Linked DNA regions of Macaca fascicularis. Each later gene encodes a partner of the first gene's protein in a complex. Links are inferred from orthologs where the notes say so. Each region holds a gene or a part of one and is shown in the gene's direction. Other genes may lie near its edges.

Region 1 (4,121 bases):
GCCACCACACCCACCTAGTTCTGTATTTTAATGATCTCATGAACATTTTTTCTTTTCTTTTTTTTTTTTTTTGGAGACAGGGTCTGACTCAGGTTGCCCAGGCTAGAGTGCAGTGACATGATTAGGGCTCACTGCAGCCTCAACCTCCCGGGCTCAAGCAATATTTCCACCTCAGCCTCCTGAGTAGCTGGGACTATAGTCACACACCACCACGCCCAGCTACCTTTTTGTATTTTTTGTAAAAGCAAGTCTCACTGTGTTGCCTAGGCTGGTCTCGAATTCCTGGACTCAAGGAATCTGCCCACCCAGCCTCCCAAAGTACTGGGATTACAGGCCTGAGACGCTGCACCTGGACAAGAATATTTTCATGCCTTGAAAATGTGCTGGAGAAAGCAATCCTTAATGGCTATGTAAACCATTTCGTAAATGTCCACAGTTCAACTATTTTTGCACATTTACTTCATTTCCTCTTTTATGTCATATAATAAAAAAAAAAAAATGCTGTAGGCCGGGTGCAGTGGCTCACACCTGTAATCCCAGCATTTTGGGAGGCCAAAGTGGGCATATCACCTAAGGTCAGGAGTTCGAGACCAGCCTGGCCAACATGGTGAAACCCTGTCTCTAATGGAAAAAACATACAAAAACTAACTGGGCATGGTGGTGCACGCCTGTAATCCCAGCTACTCGGGAGGCTGAGGCAAAAGAATTGCTTGAACCCAGGAGGTGGAGGTTGCAGTGAGCTGAGATCGCGTCACTGCACTCCAGTCTGGGTGACAGAGCGAGACTCGTCTCAAAAAAAAAAAGCTGTGATGAACATCTCTCTAATGTGATGAACATCTCTCTAAATATAGGCTAGATTTAAGAGCATCTATTTGATTTTTACCAAAGGAAATGATGTTAAAGAGTAGAAAGCAAAAGCAGTTTTATAGCAGTGATGACAGTCCTCTTCCCATGGACTCTCCACCTAGATTTTAAGTGCTGTGGGCACTTAAATCCTAACTATTCCTCCTGCACACCTGGGGCAGCCCTGCCTCTAGTCCTCTCTGGGACTGGGAGGCCCTGTGAGCCAGTGAGGAGGGAGGCCATGGGGATCCTGCGTGTGCTCACACTGGGCAGGGCGTCTGCCCTGAGCCCTTCCTCTGTGCTCCCGACTGCAGGTCTCATGGCCAGCGATTGTTTCGGGCTGGGCGGAGCCAAGGTGTAATGCCTGTGGCATGCCCCAGAGATGCCTGCATGTCACTGATACCCTCTCGCCTGCAGGAGCCCTGGCGTGTTTTGGGTGGTCATTGTGGCCCCCAGCGCCGCACCTCAGCGTTACCAGCTTCTCGGCAGCTGTCTCTTGGCACACAGGCCACAGTGCTTAGGATAGTTCATGGTGCTTTGTCTAGATTTTAGCAACTGGCATCTGCTTTTCATGCTAGTTCCCCCTCCTGCCTTTGATTTGCCCTGTGTTCCGTTGCAGAACGAGATGCTGGAGGAGGGCCAAGAATATGCTGTCATGCTGTACACCTGGAGGAGCTGCTCCCGGGCCATCCCGCAGGTGCCCTGCTCGCCTGTCTCTTCCCTCCCCACACCCTGCCGTGCCCCACCCCGCCCTGCCCCTGCAATGCCTGGCCACTCTCCTCCCGGGTCTCACCCCACAGCAGGGCGGGATCACCAGCTCTAGCTGCCCAGCAGCTGCTTCTGGCTGGATCCAAGCCTCTTATGTCATCCTTGTTTCTTTATTCCAGGTGAAATGTAACGAGCAGCCTAACAGAGTGGAAATTTATGAGAAAACCGTGGAGGTTCTGGAGCCTGAGGTCACAAAACTGATGAATTTTATGTACTTCCAGGTAAAATGGCAAAATCCCTATCTTGGGGGTGTAACACCGAGGGGTGGGTTGCTGACACCTTCCTACCCATCGCCGTCAATGTGAACACCCTGAACAGAGTGCCTGCAAATTAAAGCAACCAGTTTCTGAGACAAAAGGGACCAAGCCTTTGACAGTCTAAAGTTTCTCACGCCCTTTTGGAATCAACACTCCTTTTGTGGTTCTCAGAATTCTCAGTGATTTCATGTTTCCTTCACGGAGTCTGCTTTCTGTCAGTTTCAAGTACAATGCTTTGACTTTCTGCCAGTTTGTACTTTCTTTTTTGAGACGGAGTCTTGCTCTGTCGCCCAGGCTGGAGTACAATGGTGCAATCTTCGCTCACTGCAACCACCGCCTCCCAGGTTCAAGTGATTCTCCTGCCTCAGCCTCCCGAGTAGCTGGGATTACAGGCGCCCGCCACCATGCCTGGCTAGTTTTTGTATTCTTAGTGGAGACAGGGTTTCACCATGTTGGCCAGGCTGGTCTTGAACTCCTGACCTCAGGTGATCCACCCATCTTGGCCTTCCAAAGTGCTGAGATTACAGGCGTGAGCCACCGCACCTGGCCAGTTTGTACTTTTGATTCATCTGGTCTTTCAGGTATTTTCTTGCTGTCAGCCTCACCCTGACTGTCCATTCCTGGTGGTCCTCGCCCTGGCCTTGATTAGGCAAGAAGCAGCCACATGAAAGGGGCCTGCTGCTTTTTAAAGAAGTATTTTGGAAACATCCAGATTTTCTATGATGTCCATTAGCAGAGGGAGGAGATGGAACTAACTAGGAGATTAATTTTCATTTTACCTTGAAAGTTACCAAGAGGAAAAAAATCTCTCCCACTTTTCACTTCTGAAAGTTAGAACGTATGAATTTTGCAGACGTTTTCTTGGATCATTTTGCTCAGTAATTTTGCTGGAATAATCAGCAAGATGTTGTTACTTTAGTGACGTAGTTGGTAAAGTGCAAAACGAGTAACGACGTTGCAGAGCAGGCCGTCGGAGCTGCTTTCAGGAGGGGGTCTGGCTGCCCACATTGTAAACACCTGGGCCCGAAGCCGCGCGGGGCAGATTTTTCTCATCAAGGAGCAGTGACTGCAGGTGCTTGAAGCAGGGACATGGGCTTGGCCCCTCACTGACCTGCAGCTTTCTGCCCCCCGCTTCCTCTGCACAGAGAAACGCCATTGAGCGTTTCTGCGGGGAGGTGAGGCGCCTGTGCCACGCCGAGAGGAGGAAGGACTTTGTGTCTGAAGCCTACCTGATCACACTGGGCAAGTTCATCAACATGTTCGCTGTGCTGGACGAGCTGAAGAACATGAAGTGCAGTGTGAAGAACGACCACTCAGCATACAAGAGGTGAGCACCGGCCCCGTGTGCCGTGGGCCTTCCCGAGAGCGCGCAGCTCAGTGGCCCGCCTCGTGCGTAGCAGGTGTGTGTCTTTGTGTGTTGAAGTCGTCACTTCTGGTAGGCAGCGGCTACTTCTCGGTGTCAGGGCTGTGGGAGCACCTGCTCTGGGGGATAAAGTGAGGGGAGCCAGCAGGTAAGTGCATATCATGGCTTTGCAAAGCTAGAGCAGACTCTTAGTGCCCTGGCTGTCCTTCGATGTCACGGAGGACCTTCGCGCCCCTGGGAAGACAGACGTGCACAAGCTGTAGGCCTAGCTCACAGAGCACAGGCATCTGGCTCAGGGAGCATCTTGGCAAGGGGGCAGGTGGCCTCTGCAGCCCACCTTGGGCATTGGGGCTGCAGTCCTCGGTGCCAGTCTCTCGCCGGTGGGGGTCCCCGGCACCTGAGCACCATCCAGCAACGTGCAGACGTAGCCCATGCACAGTCACAGGGTGTCTTGGGGTCACACTGCGTTTCCAGGTCCTCTCCCCGGCGGTTTTCTTTTTGGATGTAGAGAGCTTCTGGAGAAGCTAGCCTCTGGAGAGACCGGCAGGAGGGATGGAAGAGGCGGGCATGGCCCGGCGTGTGCTTCCGGAGGATTGTGGGGTGGTGGGCGGCAGACAGGCGTTCGGGGACACACGGCGCTGTCTCCTGATGCTCTGCTTCGTTTGTGCCCGGTGCTTTTGAAGACATGTTTTGCTGGAATGAGATGCTAATTTCAGTTTCCTCTAGTAAGTAAGGCATCTTAGCTCTAAAATTAAATTCGAAGAGACCTTACTTTGCATCTGAATACGCTCTAGTTATGTTGCATTTTAAATCATACAACTGTTGTTATGTCTTTATAAAAAGAAAAATCCCCACTTGGGACAAAATGAGGCAGCAGTAGGAGTCAAGCT
Region 2 (4,873 bases), on another chromosome or scaffold:
GCCTGTGCCCAAGTCTATGTTGATCAGAGAGATGAGGGACTGGCCTGGCACCCTTAAGACCTTTCCTGGAATGCTAAAGGGATGCGTGAGGGAAGAGTGCGGGGGGCGAGGGGAGGGAAGTCATTCTCATATGATAATAGGCCTGAAAAGGGAGAAATACAGGAGTGGAAACCAAAAGATACAGGTTTGAGTTCCGGGGCTGTTTCAAATTCCCTGGAGGACCCTGGGTAAGTCATGCAACTTCAGGAAGACTCAGTTTTCTCTTCTGCAAAAACGAGGGTAATAATCTGCCTTACAGAGTTGCCCTAGAGAACCAAGTGAGGTATCTTTGCTAACGTGTGAATTTGTCACATTTCTATCTAGCTGCGGCCTTTTTTTTTTTAGACTCGTTCTGTCTCCCAGGCTGGAGTGCAGTGGCATGACCTCGGCTTACTGCAACATCCAACACCCAGGTTCAAGCGATTCTCCTGCCTCCCAAGTAGCTGGGATCATAGATGCGCACCACCACGCCCAGCTAATTTTTGCGTTAATAGAGGCAGGGTTTCTTTTTTTTCTTTTTTTGAGACAGAGTTTTGCCCTTGTTGCCCAGGCTGGAGTGCAATGGCGTGATCTCGGCTCACCGAAACCTTCATCTCCCGGGTTCAAGAGATTCTCCTGCCTCAGCCTTCCGAGTAGCTGGGATTACAGGCATGGGACACCATGCCCGGCTAATTTTTTGTATTTTTAGTAGAGACTGGATTTCACCATGTTGGCCAGGCTGGTTTCAACCACCCGACCTCAGGTGATCCTCCTAGAGGCGGGATTTCACTTAGCCAGGCTGGTCTTGAACTCATGACCTCAAGTAATCCACCAGCCTCGGCCTCCCAAAGTGTTGGGATTACAGGCATGAGCCACCGCGCCGGGCCTTTTTTTTTTTTTGAGACGGGGTTTCGCTCTAGTTTCCTAGGCTGGAGTGCAATGGCGTGATCTCCGCTCACTGCAACCTCCGCCTCTCGGCGGAGAATTCAAGCGATTCTCCGGCCTCAACCTCCTGAGTAGCTGGGATTACAGGCATGCGCCACCACGGCTGGCTAATTTTGTATTTTTAGTAGAGACGGGGGTTTCTCCAAGTTGGTCAGGCTGGTCTTGATTTCCCGACCTCAGGTGATCCGCCCGCCTCGACCTCCCAAAGCGCTGGGATTACAGGCCAGAGCCACCGCGCCCGGCCAGCTGCAGCCTTTTATAATCAACAAGACGAGCATATTCCCCACTCATGCATGAATCCTCAACAAACACTCCCGCATGTGAGGCACAGACGACTGCTCCTATTTCGCAGAAGGACAAACTGAGACCCAGATAAATTCTGGAAGATGTCTGAGGTCGCAGAGTGAAGTGGCTCAACCAGGGATCCGCTCACTTTGACCATGGCTTTTCAGTACTATCCCCCATTCCCAGCACCCAGGCCTCGCCCCACATGGACAGTGCAGGGCGGGCTAGAGCTTGTGACTCACTCTCCCCACCCTACTTTCTGCCCCGGCTGAGACCGGAGTGAAGGGACAACACCATCTGCAACTTGAGGGGTGTCCACAGAAAGTTTACGGGCTTGGCCCCTTCCTTTCGCCAAATATAGCGGTTCTTTGAAGGCTAACAAGAAGAATTAATCTTTCAACACACTCTGTACGAGGTTTTACACTCTCTTCGGTGAGTTTTCCCTACTTTGAACTTAGGAGTCCGTTTGCCTTAATCTCTGCCCCCCATTTCACTTGGTTTGCACCCCGCTGTTTACTCGGATTGCGGAAGTCGCCCGGGTGGAGCTCCGGGGAGGGTACCCGTGAGTACGTCTTTTGCGTAGTTATTTAACTGGCATTTTACTCAGGCCAATGGAATGCCCCGAAGCCCCGGGTGGGTTGGGCAGTGAACCAATCAGGGCCATTGGCGGGGTGTGGCTGCGTCCCAGGGCGGGGAATACCGTAATGGCGGACACGGGCCGGGCGAGCGCGGCTGGGGGCGTAGCGCGCTGAGGGGGGTCCGGCCGTGTGGCAGCCCGCGAGGCGGTCCGCGGGAGCACACTCTGTGCGGAGACTGTGCGGCCGGCCGGCCTTTCCTGTCGCTGACGGCGACTGCGGGAGGCCAGGTGAGCAACAAGTCCCCTTGGGTAGACCCCGCCGGGAGGCGCGGTCCCCGGGCGGGCCGCTCCTCCCGAGCCGCAGGGTTCCGGGGGAGTGGGTGCCGCGACTCTCACTGCCGAGTGGCAGAGGCTGGGCGAGTGGTCAGCGCGGGGTGGTGTCTTAGTCCACCCCACCCCCTCAGGGAGGGAGGGAGTGACCCGGAGTCCCCTTCCGAAACTTGGAGGGGTCCGCAAGTCTGAGGGACTACGAGTGTCCCGATCTGACCTGGTTCTGCCATCAGCTCCCTGTGTGATCTTGAGCAAGTCACTTTCCTCTCTAGGCCTTAGTTTTCCCATGTGTAAAACGAGGGTTTCGTCGGCAGATGTATGTACAGGAGTTGGGTCCCAGCTGTTGTCTGAGATCTTGGACAAGTTCTTCCCCAGGCTGAGCCTCAGTTTCCATCTCTGGACCACGAAGTAACTGAGGTGCTCGTTGAGGCCCCGACCTGCTAAATATTGAGGAGCGGGAGGAGGGCACTGTGTGTGTGTGTGTAAGAGTGCGTGTGGGTGTGTGCGCGTACAGGATGGTCTGCAGAGTAAGGAGGAGAGTTGTCTAAAGGGGCTATTCCAAGGAGGACGTGGGTGCTACCCAGACCACGATGGGGTGAGTTGGGGTCCTCTTGGTTCTCCAGGAACGCTAGAGCCTCTGAGAGGGGAAGTTTTAATACGGTTGTCCATAGAACCAGAGAAGAGGAAGGACTCCTTGGAGCCCCTTGGGGCTCTGATTGGAATTTAGGCCCAGAAATCAGGAGGGTAGAAGGAGGAGGAAGAACTTTTATGGCAGCCCTACTAGGTGCCAACCCTCGCTTAGGCCTATGAACTTTTACAGTGACCCTTGAGAATTTACACATAAGGAAACTAAGTTTCAGAGGAGTTAAGTAACTTGCCCAAGGTCACACAGTAAAGGGCAGAGGTTACTTAACTAAATTGTTTCCTCTCAGAATCTCTAGGCAAGGGGGAAGTCACTGCCCACTTAAAAGATAGTGTTAGGGAAGTTTGCCTTGTTGCAGATGGGGGCAGAGGTCTGGCCCCAGGTATGTGATTTGACTTCTGGCATGGGGACAGTCTTGATCTCTGGAAGGTTAATTATAAGTCCAGCCCCTTTATCCAGTCTGTAAGTTGGAAAGAACTATTTGTAAGTCGTAAAAGTCACTTTGAAGTGTGTCAGATCCTCAGAGAGCTCCATTTGAATCCTGTTGGGGTTGCCTGTAGAAGAAAGTTCAGCAGCTGTTGGTGTGTAGACTATACTTTGGTTCAGGGTGGTGCCAGCCCATTCACTTTTCTCCTCCATCAGAGGGCCACATTTTCTTGGGATGGGAGAAATTTCCCATTTTTTAGTTCAAATTTCTTTGGATTTCTTGGGGTGAAAGGTTCAATATCCCGCCTCTGATTAAGCTTAATACCCCTTTCTTTGTGCAACCTGTTATTTGACTTCTAATGAGTGAAGATTGTGGATCTGAGGTAGGTGGTAGTTGGGTACAATAACTTGCTGCCCTTAATTTTTCCAAACCTCAGAGCTTTTGATTAATCAGAATGGTAGGAATGGCTATGGGTATTGTTCTCATATGTGAATGGTGGAGAAGAAAACTGGAAGAGGAAGTTGCTGAGAAAAAGGGCGTTTCTTAGCAGTGGAGCCAGTATGTATTTCTTTGTTTGAAATTCTAAAACCAGAAAAGCAGCAACTAAAGGAGGAAGGAAGGAAAGAACTGTGAAACTCTTTTTCCCGTTCAAATATCTTTAAGAACTGTTCCTGTCTCTAGCCATGTCCCAGGCTCTACTTTCATAGAAAAAGTCAATTGTAATTTGTTCAGAGTTTTCTTCTAGAATGAAATAATTTTAAATCTTAAAACCTCTGAGAATAATTGTTTAAAAATCAGAGCATTTTATTGAGTAAGTTATTTACAGTGGATTATTCTTTTTCTCAGCATATTACTAATTCGGTCTTATATATAAAATATATAATATATAATAAAAATATATAATATAAAATAAATATATATAAATATAAATATGTAACATATACAATATATATTATAAATCATATATGAATTTATATATAATACATAAATATGTCATATATCATAAAATATATAATATAAAAAATTTATATATAATATATATAAATTATACTATATAAAACTTATAGTATATAATATATAATACATATAATATATAAAAATATATGTATTATATATAACAAATATATATATATATCTGTCACCCAGGCTGGAACGCAGTGGCGTGAGCTCGGCTCACTGCAACCTTTGCCTCCCGGGTTTGAGCAATTCTCCTGCCTCAGCCTCCCAAGTATCTGGGACTACAGGCATGCAACCCCACGCCTGGCTAATTTTTGTATTTTTTAGTAGAGATGGGGTTTTGCCATGTTGGCCAGGCTGGTCTCAAACTCCTGACCTCAGTTGATCCACCTGCTGCGGCCTCCCGAAGTGCTGGGATTACAGGCGTGAGCTGCTGCGCCCGACTGAGTCTTTGGCTGTATTTTAACTGTGATTTCAACCTAAGGAATTGATTTAGATATTACAGGATGCAAATATCACCATCACTTGAAAAACACATAATAATGTGTTTGGCTTTTGACACATTAAGTCTTTTTTTTTCTTTTTTTTTCTTTTGAGACAGAATCTTGCTCTGTTGCCCAGGCTGGAGTGCAGAGTGATCTCAGCTCACTGCAAGCTCCGCCTCCTGGGTTCATGCTATTCTTCTGCCTCA
Region 3 (4,645 bases), on another chromosome or scaffold:
CTGCATGGAAAGTACGTTGAAAATAGTAAATCAGTATCACCTCCCTAATCATTTCCCCAATGTTGTTGAAATGTGTCAATATTTGGATATATGCAAACCGAGTGATTTGTACAGTTAAACCTCAAGTAGAGACCAAGATCAATAATACATTAAATTTTAATAACTTGGATTAAGTCATGTTTGGGTTAACGATAAATATCAAAAGATAACTATTATACCTATTCCAGATATCATGGAAAGTAATACATTTATTATTGATTTATAGACCACAGAATCCTTGATGGAGAATCTGGTGGCAAGGGGAAGTTAACACTTTTAGTAGGAAACTGAATTTTTCCTTTCAGAGGTTGAGGAGGGAAACTAGTTCCCTGGGGCCCTGAATAAGGCCCCAGTAAAGGCAATATTCAATAAATACCTGGTGATGGCAATTTTTAATTTGGTTGAGTGATGTTGTTAATCCTATAGTTATTTTGATTCTAAATGACTTTATGGAGATACATGGACATATGGATTTTACAATGATCTTTAGTTTCCTCTTCGGCCTTTGGACAACACTTTTCATAGCTGATTATATCCAAAGCATTTAATGTTCCCGTTGAAGTGAAGAGCTTGAAATATAGGGCCTTTTGAGACTATTCCAAAGCAGGTGATAAAAACAAAACAAAAATCCAGAAGCAAAAAACGAAGGGCCAGCATGGGTGGCTCATGATTGTAATCCTAGCAGTTTGGGAGGCTGAGGCAGAAGGATTGCTTGAGGCCAGGGGTTCGAGACCAGCGAGGGCAACAAAATTGGATCCCTGTCGCTACAAAAATTTAAAAAGCTCAGCCCCGGTGTAGTGACCCTCGCTTGTAGTCCCAGTTACTCCGGAGGCTGAGGCATGAGGATCGCTTGAGTCTAGGAGGTCTAGGCTGCAGAGAGCCGTGATTGCGCTACCGTACTCCAGGCTGGGTAAGAGTGAGATCCTGTTTCAAACAACCCCCACCCCTAAAAAACCGTGCACTTGACTTTAAAAGTGTAGGAAGATTACATGCCAAGGAGAGTCACAGAAAAGAGAAATTAGGACAGGAAAGCCCTACAAGCTATGCATGTTTATTTTATAATCGAGTCTTTAAGGGTATGGAGTATTCATACTCAACTTGTACCCCCAGTGTCCAGTACACTGCTTAGTAAACAGCTGGAATCAAGAAATCTTTGCTAAATTTTAAATTAATTGATGGGGGCGGAAGCTCAGAAAGTAAAACCTGACTCGCATTATTTCTAAGAAGGCAGAGGAAGTAAAAATCTAGTTTTCTATACTCTGTCCCTTTTTAATCCTTCTGTGAATGGATGTCCCTGATTCACTGGCATTTCCTAATTAACCAAGTTCTGCCAAGTTTCACATGAAACTTGGGGAACCGATTTCATTCCCCCACAATCACCCTGTGGCGCCACCTTCCGGAGCTGTGAGGAAACTCCGGACTTCCCCCCAACACCGCCCCCTCCCTCCACCTTCGGTCTCCGCTTTCTGCGCTCTGCCTAGTTGTTTTCGGAGGTGTCTGCGCGCATGCGCTTTGGACGGGCAGCCTTGTCTAAGAGAGACTACAATTCCCAGAAGACAGTGCGAAAGAAAAAAAAATCCCGCGGCCCGGCGTGGGGGAGGTGGCAGAAATGAAGACTCGCGAGAGAACGAGGTTCAGGCGGCTGCGCGAAGTGGGTGGAGGGAGACCCGAGAGAGTGAGGAAGAACGGGAGGAGGTGCCGTCCCACAATACCAGGCGGGAGGGCGGGTAGTCGGTTTGTATCCGGGCTGTGAGGTGCTCGGAGCCTCGGCGGACCTTGCTGCCTCTGTCTCTTTAACGCGAGAGGAAGCGATGCAGAGGGGTGGAAAATGGCAGAGCTGCAGATGTTACTAGAGGAGGAGATCCCGTCTGGCAAGAGGGCGCTGATCGAGAGTTACCAGAACCTGACTCGGGTGGCGGACTACTGTGAAAACAACTACATACAGGTGAGGCGCGCTGGCGGCCGGCGGGCGCTGGCCGGGTCGAGGACCCGCCGGAGTGACCAGCCCACTGGGCGGGGTGGGGAACTGCCCTCACCTCAGCGGTTGCCACCAGCCCGAGCCCCTACCGCAGTCCCAACCCCAGCCCCAACCGGGGACAGAGCGAGTGGCCCGGCTGAGGGAGTCGGGCTGCGATACAGGAAGTGGCTGTGGTGGTGGAAATCGATGGAAGGGGAGAGAAAATGGGCGAGGGAGCCGGGAGCCCGCCGCAGCCCGGCGCCCCCCTCGCGTCCGCTTTCCCCAGGGCCGGGCCACCGGGGTCGCGCGCCCCCCAGGTAGCCTCCAGTCCACGGAGCTGGCGTCCTGGAGACCCCCCTGCTGCCGCCGCGCCGCCTCTCTGCGCCCGGAGAGGAGGTCCAGGACGGGAGAGGGGAGAGGAGAGGGCAGGGACCAGGCTGAAGCCGCAGAAGGGATAGGACCAGCGGGGTGTGTGTTGTGTGTCGGCGGAGGGTGGGGTGGGGGCCATTATGTCAGTTTCAGCCCCCAGAGGGTGTGTCTTTTATTTATTTATTTAAAAAAAATTTGTCATGAGTCACATTACACCGACCTCCCGGAGGAGAGGAGGAAGCGGGTGTGGGGAGTGAGGGAGGGCGTTTGAGAGAAGTTAATCTTAAAATTCCTTTAATTGAAGGTTTGTAAATCTGCCTGCTTGTCCATTTTCAAGTCGGGTTCCCCCCCCCCCCCCGCCATCGTTTTCGCTTCCGCCCCACCGTAATGTATTCTAAGAGGTTGTTAGGGCTGCTATCATTAATTATCAAACAGGAATTGTTTTTAACTCCTTGGAAAAACGGCTTAAATACTCTCTCTTCTCCCAAAAGTTCTTGAACTGTAGGCTTCATAAGTAACTTAATACTGGTGTCATCGCTGGTTGCTTATTTTCTGAGGTTTCTCTCTTAACAAGCTAAGTAAATGTATAGTATATGAATCCAAGTACAGAAATGAACAGAGGTAGCCTCCGAACTACAACATAAAAATATCAGTTATTGTAAATTAGAAAACTCTTGGGACTTTGTGACAGATGCTGGTTTGTTCATTTCTTTTTGGATGATTGGAAGTGAATTGTGTGTGGTAGTTTGTTTTGAAGACCTTTAACTGTGTAAACCAACAGTTTGCACTAGAAACAAAGTAGCACAGTCCTTTGTATAAATATAAAGCCACCAGAAATGCTCTTGCTTTTGGTAAGGCAAGGCTAGAACGTGCTTTGAAAGGTTAGGGTTATTGCAATTCAGAACTAAATTATTTATAGAAATGCCTCCCATGTGATTATAATTTTTAAGAACCAATGTTTGTGTGTTGGCAAATGCTTTCCCTCTTTATTTTTAGAGGGAGATGCTGTTTTCAGAATGTTTTGAATATTTCTTAATTTTGATGTTAGTAACATTGTATCTTCAGTAGCACTACTCGGAATTTATCTTCACAATTTTTTTGTAAAGTTTTTACTTTAGGAATTCTTCGGATAAGTAAACTTGTTGAATACCTGTCACATCTACTGTATCACTTTGTTTATGCAAACTTTATATTTAGCCCTTCGAAACTTAAAAATCGAGTAGAAAAGTGGGTATAGTTTGCAAATACAAAAGTGATCTTGTAGTTTATCGATATTAAAAATAGGCAACTTTTATTCAACTTAACATGAAAAGCCTTGAAATTGAGGAGAACCTTAATTTGCTGAAAGTTTTAAAGATTTTTGAAAGCCAAAAGGAGAGCACAGTAGGTTAAATTGCTCCCTTTCCAGAAAAGTTATGTCTTCTCTGTAGAAGTCAGTAGATAAGTACTTCATACAGGGTGGCTCCTTTTTGTTTTGCGTGTTGGGAAATCTGACGAGTATATAGTGTGGTAACTATGTGTTGGCAACTCTTGGTAACTGTAAACGTGTTTTAACCTGTGTACTATTTCTTTTTCAGGTAGTTGTATGCTGTAATGCTTTTTTTACCCCTCTCTGACCCCTTTCCTTTACTCCTCTTGCTACGATCATGTAACTTTGAAGCACTTTAAAACTTCTTTGCTAATATATCTAATTAAGTCATGTTATTTCTCATACAGTCTCTCACTTTATAAAATGTTAGTGCCATGGTGCAGGCCCCGTTTTTTTATTTTCTTTTTTTGCGGGGGCGGGGTGGGGTATAATTCTAAATCTGACACCAGTGAGGTGTTTTGTTTATACTGGGGGGGGGGGGGGGGGAAAGAATTCACACAAAGCAATGATGATCTAAATACCTTAGTAGCCTTTATTCATTGGGCTGCATGATCCAGGCCACTAGTTGCCTCCCTAAGGGACTCAGACAGGGTCAGACTCAGAAAGTGATGTGGAAGTTGATGTGGTAGGTGGTGCTGATGACTTTGGTGCTAAGAATGGGGAATGAATAATATTAGAAATATCCATTAGGGTGTCTGTTGAGGTCTTTCTATATCCTTCCTGGGACCTGATTGGGTTATTTATAACTAATACTCTTCATAAATATACCTCTTCTCAGTGAAAGTATGCAGTTCACATGTGCTTTGAGAATTTTTAAATAAGGTGAGCTAAGTTATTGCTTGGGTGATTTTTGTTCTGAGATTCACTTTTCATTTCATTTTTCTACAGTTTGAAAGTGCAGTCCAGTTTAG
Region 4 (4,745 bases), on another chromosome or scaffold:
CAAAGTGCTGGGATTACAGGCGTGAGCCACCGCGCCTGGCCTTATTGGGTGTTTTAAAATGGCAACTCATGTCCATCATTTCTCATAGGTTTATTAGTGATTCTCCTCTCTTTTCTCTTTGAAACAGTTGCTCATATATTAGATCTCTTGGATTAGTTCTCTGGAAAATTTCATTTATTTTTCAACCTTCATTTTAAATTTCCATTCATTTTGAAATTCCAGTTATTTATTTTCTCCCTCCTGTCCTCCTTCCTTTTTTTTTTTTTTTTTTGTCCTCTGAATGTTCATTTTTATAGCTTCCTATAATTGTTATATACATGCAAAATCTTAACTTATTCCTTTGAGTATGTAGACATGTGTTTTTGAGACAGAGCCTTACTCTGTTGCCCAGGCTGGAGTGCAGTGGCACCATCTTGGCTCACTGCAACCTCTGCCTCCTAGGTTCAAGTGATTATCCCACCTCAGCCTAGCTGGGATTACAGGCGCCAACCACTATACCCAGCTAATTTTTATGTTTTTAGTAGAGACGAGTTTTCACTGTGTTGGCCAGGCTGGTCTCAAACTCCTGACCTCAGGGAATCTGCCCGCCTTGGCCTCCCAAAGTGCTGGGATTACAGGCCTGAGCAGAAGCAAAGTTTTAAAAAGGAAGAGCAAAGGCGAATGGGGAACTTACCATATCATGAAGAAAAACATTGTTAAAAGTAATGGCTGGGCGCAGTGACTCTATAATAGTAGCACTTTGGGAGGCTGAGGCAGGTGGATCACCTGAGGTCAGGAGTTCGAGATCAGCCTGACCAACATGGCGAAAACCCATCTCTACTAAAAATACAAAAAAATTAGCTGGACGTGGTGGTGGGTGCCTGTAATCCCAGCTACTTGGGAGGCTGAGGCAGGAGAATTGCTTGAACCCGGAAAGTGGAGGTTGCAGTGAGCCAAGATTGCGCCATTGCACTTCAGCCTGGGTGACAGAGCAAGATGCTGTCTAAAAAAAGAAAAAAGAAATTTACAAAAATATGATATTCACGTAGGAAGGGATGGGCAGATTATTGGAATACACTGAGCCATCCAGGAGTAGTTTCAGATGTTTATTTGGGCTTTAATATAACTTTGTTATAATACATTTGGAATATTTAGATCAGTGTGAAAAAAATAATCTGTAATCTCAACAACTAAGTGTTCTCTGAAAGTGAACTTTTTTTTTTTTTTTTTAAACCATATCCCTCTTCGTACCTTTTCGTTTTTCCCTTTAAATACTTAATTTTCAGCTGGGTGCAGTAGCTCATGCCTGAAACCTCAATACTTTGGGAGGCTGAGGTGGGTGAATTGCGTAAGCCCGGGAATTCAAGACTAACTTAGGCAACATGGTGAAACCCTGTCTCTACTAAAAATATTAATACAAAAAACTAGCCAGGTGTGGTGGCATGCACCTGTAGTCCCAGCTACTCAGGAGGCTTGGGCGGGAGGATTGATTGAGCCCTGGAGGTCGAGACTGCAGTGAGCTGTGATTGTGCCACAGCACTGCAGCCTGGGTATCAGAGCGAGACCCTGTCTCAAAAACTAACTACTTAATTTTCTTAGAGCAGTTTTAGGTTCAGAGCAAAATTGAGCAGAAATTACAGTTCCTGTAACTTACTCCTTGCCCCTGTGCAGGAACAGCTTTCCCACTGTCAACATCCTGCAACAGAATGGCACATTTGTTAGAATTGATGAACCTAAATTGACATTATTGTCACCCAAAGTTCATACTTTACATTAGGGTTCACTCTTCATGTTGTACATTCTGTGGGTTTTGTCAAATGTATAATGACATATATCTATGATTATAATATCGTACAGAATAATTTACTGCCCTAAAAATCCTCTCTGTTCTGCTTGTTTATACCCTTCCCACCAACCACTGATCTTTTTGTCTTTTCCAGAATATCACAGAGTTACAATCATACAGTACGTAGCCTTTTCAGCTTAGCTTCTTTCACTTAGTAATATGCATTTAAGTTCCTTCTATGTCTTTTTATGGCTTGATAACTCATTTTATTTTAGCACTCAGTAATGTTTCATTTTCTGGATGTACTACAGTTTATTTAGGACTTCTTAATATAGGTCAAAAGCACAAAAATAGTGCTTCTTTTTTCTTTTCTTTTCTTTTTTTTTTTTTTTTGAGACAGAGTCTTGCTCTGTTGCCAGGCTGGAGTGTAGTGGCGTGGTCTCGGCTCACTGCAGCCTCCTCCTCCTGGGTTCCAGCGATTGTCCCGCCTCAGCCTCCAGATACCTGGGATTACAGGCACATGCCACCACGCCTGGCTAATTTTTGTATTTTTAGTAGAGATGGGTTTCACCATGTTGGCCAGGCTGGTCTTAAACTCCTGACCTCATGATCCGCCCACCTGGGCCTCTCAAAGTGCTGGGATTACAGGCATGAACCACCACGCCTGGCCTTTTTTTTTTTTTTTTTTTTTTTTTTTTTTTTTTTTTAAGTGCTCATTTTTATATGGTTCTGTAATCTGCTTTTCTCCACATTTGTATTACTTTTAAAGTAATTCTTACAAACATGTTTAGTGCTTACATTATAAATGCCATGGTTTATCTATTACCTTTTGGGTATATCTGTTGATAGATGTATTGTCTCTTAGAAGTCTAATTACTAGGTTAAATAATATAGATCTTTTTATTTTAATTTTACTGTTTTTCTATTTTCCCATTTAGCTTTGACTTGGAACTCAGTAGATCCTTTTAGGTTTGGAAGCTTGATAGTTTATTAACTTAAACTAAGTAAATAGAAGGTTGTATTCCACTCTGTAATCCTGGGGACATAAGAAACTGACTATACCTGGTTTTGTAAATTTTTTTAAGGCATATATTTCTTCAAAATATTTTCTTTTGAAAGGTGATTTTAAAACCTTAGTACATAAAAAGGCAGACGTGGTGGCTCACGCCTGTAATCCTAGCAATTTCGAAGGCTGAGGCAGGAGGATCACTTGAGGCCAAGAGTTTGAGACCAGGCTGAGCAATATAGTGAGACCTGTCTCTAAAAATTTTCTGGGCATGCCTGTAGTCCCAGCTATTCAGGAGCATCTCTTGAGCCTAGGAGTTTGAGACTGCAGTGAGCTATGATTGCATCCCTGCACTCCAGCCTAAGTTAACAGTGATACCCTCCTCTGAAGGCAAAAAAAAAAGAAAAAGAAAAAGAAAAAAAATCTGTTGGATAAGAAGTTGTTACAGAAAACAAAATGACCTTATTAAAGCTACAGTTTAAATTGAAATTATAACCTTTAACTTTTAAAAATGAACACATGTAATTTATTTATTTTTTTTTTTTGATACGGAGTTTTGCTCTGTTGCCCAGGCTGGAATGCAGTGACACTACCTTGGCTCACTGCAACCTCTGCCTCCCAGGTTCAAGCAATTCTCCTGAGTCAGCCTCCCGAGTAGCTGGGATTATGGGCACGTGCCACTATACCTGGCTAATTTTTGTATTTTTAGTAGAGACAGGGTTTCACCATGTTGGACCAGGCTGGTCTCGACCACCTGACCTCAGGCGATCCACCCATCTCAGCTTCCCAAAGTGCTGGGATTACAGGTGTGAGCCACTGCGCCCGGCCAAACACATAGAATTTTAACAGTAACTGCTCATTTGTTTGAACTGTGACATGTAAAGATAGATTTAAAAAAAAAAAAAACTAGAATTTAATTAGTATCATGAAATTTTAGTTATGTTTTCTAAGTTTTAAAATGTATAAACATTTAAATAGCAGTTAAATTCTTTAAAAGATTTGCGTTTCAAATACTTCCTATAAAGCTTTAAGGAATAATTGAAATGGAAAATACCGTGTTACTGCAGTCAACAGTTTTGTGCACTGGTCCTAATGCCATTTTAATGTTGATATATTTTGAATCATTTTTTACTTTTGTATAATGTTCAACGTATGTAAATTTTTCTTTGTTTTCTTTCTTTTTTTTTTGTTTTTGAGATGGAGTCTCGCTCTTTCACCATTCTGGAGTGCAATGGTGCGATCTCGGCTCACTGAAACCTCTGACTCCCTGGTTCAAGCGATTCTCCTGCCTCAGCCTCCTGAGTAGCTGGGATTACAGGCATGCACCACCAGGCCCAGCTAATTTTTGTATTTTTTAGTAGAGGCTGGGTTTCACCATGTTGTCCAGGATGGTCTCGATCTCCTGATCTCATGATCTGCCTGCGTCAGCCTCCCAAAGTGTTGGGATTACAGGCATGAGCCACCGTGCCTGGCCGTACGTAAATTTTTCTTTTTCTTTTTTCTTTCTTTTTTTTTTTGAGACGGAGTTTTGCTCTTGTTGCCCAGGCTGGAGTGCAGTGGCGCGATCTCAGCTCACTGCAACTTCCCTCTCCCGGGTTCAAGTGCTTCTCCTGCTTCAGCCTCCTGAGTAACTGGTGTTACAGGCATGCGCCACCACGCCTGGCTAATTTTGTATTTTGGGTAGAGATGTGATTTCACCAAGTTGGTCAGGTGGGTCTTGAACTCCTGACCTCGTGATCCACCTGCCTCTGCCTCCCAAAGTGCTGGAATTATATGCATGAGCCACCGCACCCAGCCTGTAAATTTTTCTAGTTATTTTAAATTATGAATCTTCTGGTAGCCTTTGGTTTAAATAGTACTGACATTTAAATTTTATCATTAGCCTTATCATCCTAGTTCACACATCTGTTATTTCTTGTGTCTGTGTTATCACCTCCCCAAACCCAAACTGAATTTGTGATGTTGGCTTAAGCT

The links. The genes of interacting proteins can lie anywhere in the genome.
Region 2: CYFIP1 (region 1) and WASF2 share a complex: the UniProt entries of both Homo sapiens proteins name them as parts of the WAVE2 complex. The link is inferred for Macaca fascicularis from reciprocal best matches to the Homo sapiens genes CYFIP1 and WASF2.
Region 3: CYFIP1 (region 1) and ABI1 share a complex: the UniProt entries of both Homo sapiens proteins name them as parts of the WAVE2 complex. The link is inferred for Macaca fascicularis from reciprocal best matches to the Homo sapiens genes CYFIP1 and ABI1.
Region 4: CYFIP1 (region 1) and EIF4E share a complex: the UniProt entries of both Homo sapiens proteins name them as parts of the CYFIP1-EIF4E-FMR1 complex. The link is inferred for Macaca fascicularis from reciprocal best matches to the Homo sapiens genes CYFIP1 and EIF4E.

What each region holds. Positions count from the first base shown.
Region 1 is NC_088381.1:553,985-558,105, forward strand, and holds part of CYFIP1 (cytoplasmic FMR1-interacting protein 1), read left to right. Parts: intron 1-1,462; coding exon 1,463-1,540; intron 1,541-1,730; coding exon 1,731-1,832; intron 1,833-3,013; coding exon 3,014-3,195; intron 3,196-4,121. UniProt on the Homo sapiens protein: Component of the CYFIP1-EIF4E-FMR1 complex which binds to the mRNA cap and mediates translational repression. In the CYFIP1-EIF4E-FMR1 complex this subunit is an adapter between EIF4E and FMR1.
Region 2 is NC_088375.1:207,583,340-207,588,212, forward strand, and holds the start of WASF2 (actin-binding protein WASF2), read left to right. Parts: upstream 1-1,929; 5' UTR 1,930-2,113; intron 2,114-2,627; exon of another isoform or gene 2,628-2,750; intron 2,751-4,873. UniProt on the Homo sapiens protein: Downstream effector molecule involved in the transmission of signals from tyrosine kinase receptors and small GTPases to the actin cytoskeleton. Promotes formation of actin filaments. Part of the WAVE complex that regulates lamellipodia formation.
Region 3 is NC_088383.1:27,593,624-27,598,268, reverse strand, and holds the start of ABI1 (abl interactor 1), read left to right. Parts: upstream 1-1,701; 5' UTR 1,702-1,867; coding exon 1,868-1,984; intron 1,985-4,645. UniProt on the Homo sapiens protein: May act in negative regulation of cell growth and transformation by interacting with nonreceptor tyrosine kinases ABL1 and/or ABL2. May play a role in regulation of EGF-induced Erk pathway activation. Involved in cytoskeletal reorganization and EGFR signaling.
Region 4 is NC_088379.1:104,497,166-104,501,910, reverse strand, and holds the start of EIF4E (eukaryotic translation initiation factor 4E), read left to right. Parts: upstream 1-1,801; 5' UTR 1,802-1,816; coding exon 1,817-1,944; intron 1,945-4,745. UniProt on the Homo sapiens protein: Acts in the cytoplasm to initiate and regulate protein synthesis and is required in the nucleus for export of a subset of mRNAs from the nucleus to the cytoplasm which promotes processes such as RNA capping, processing and splicing.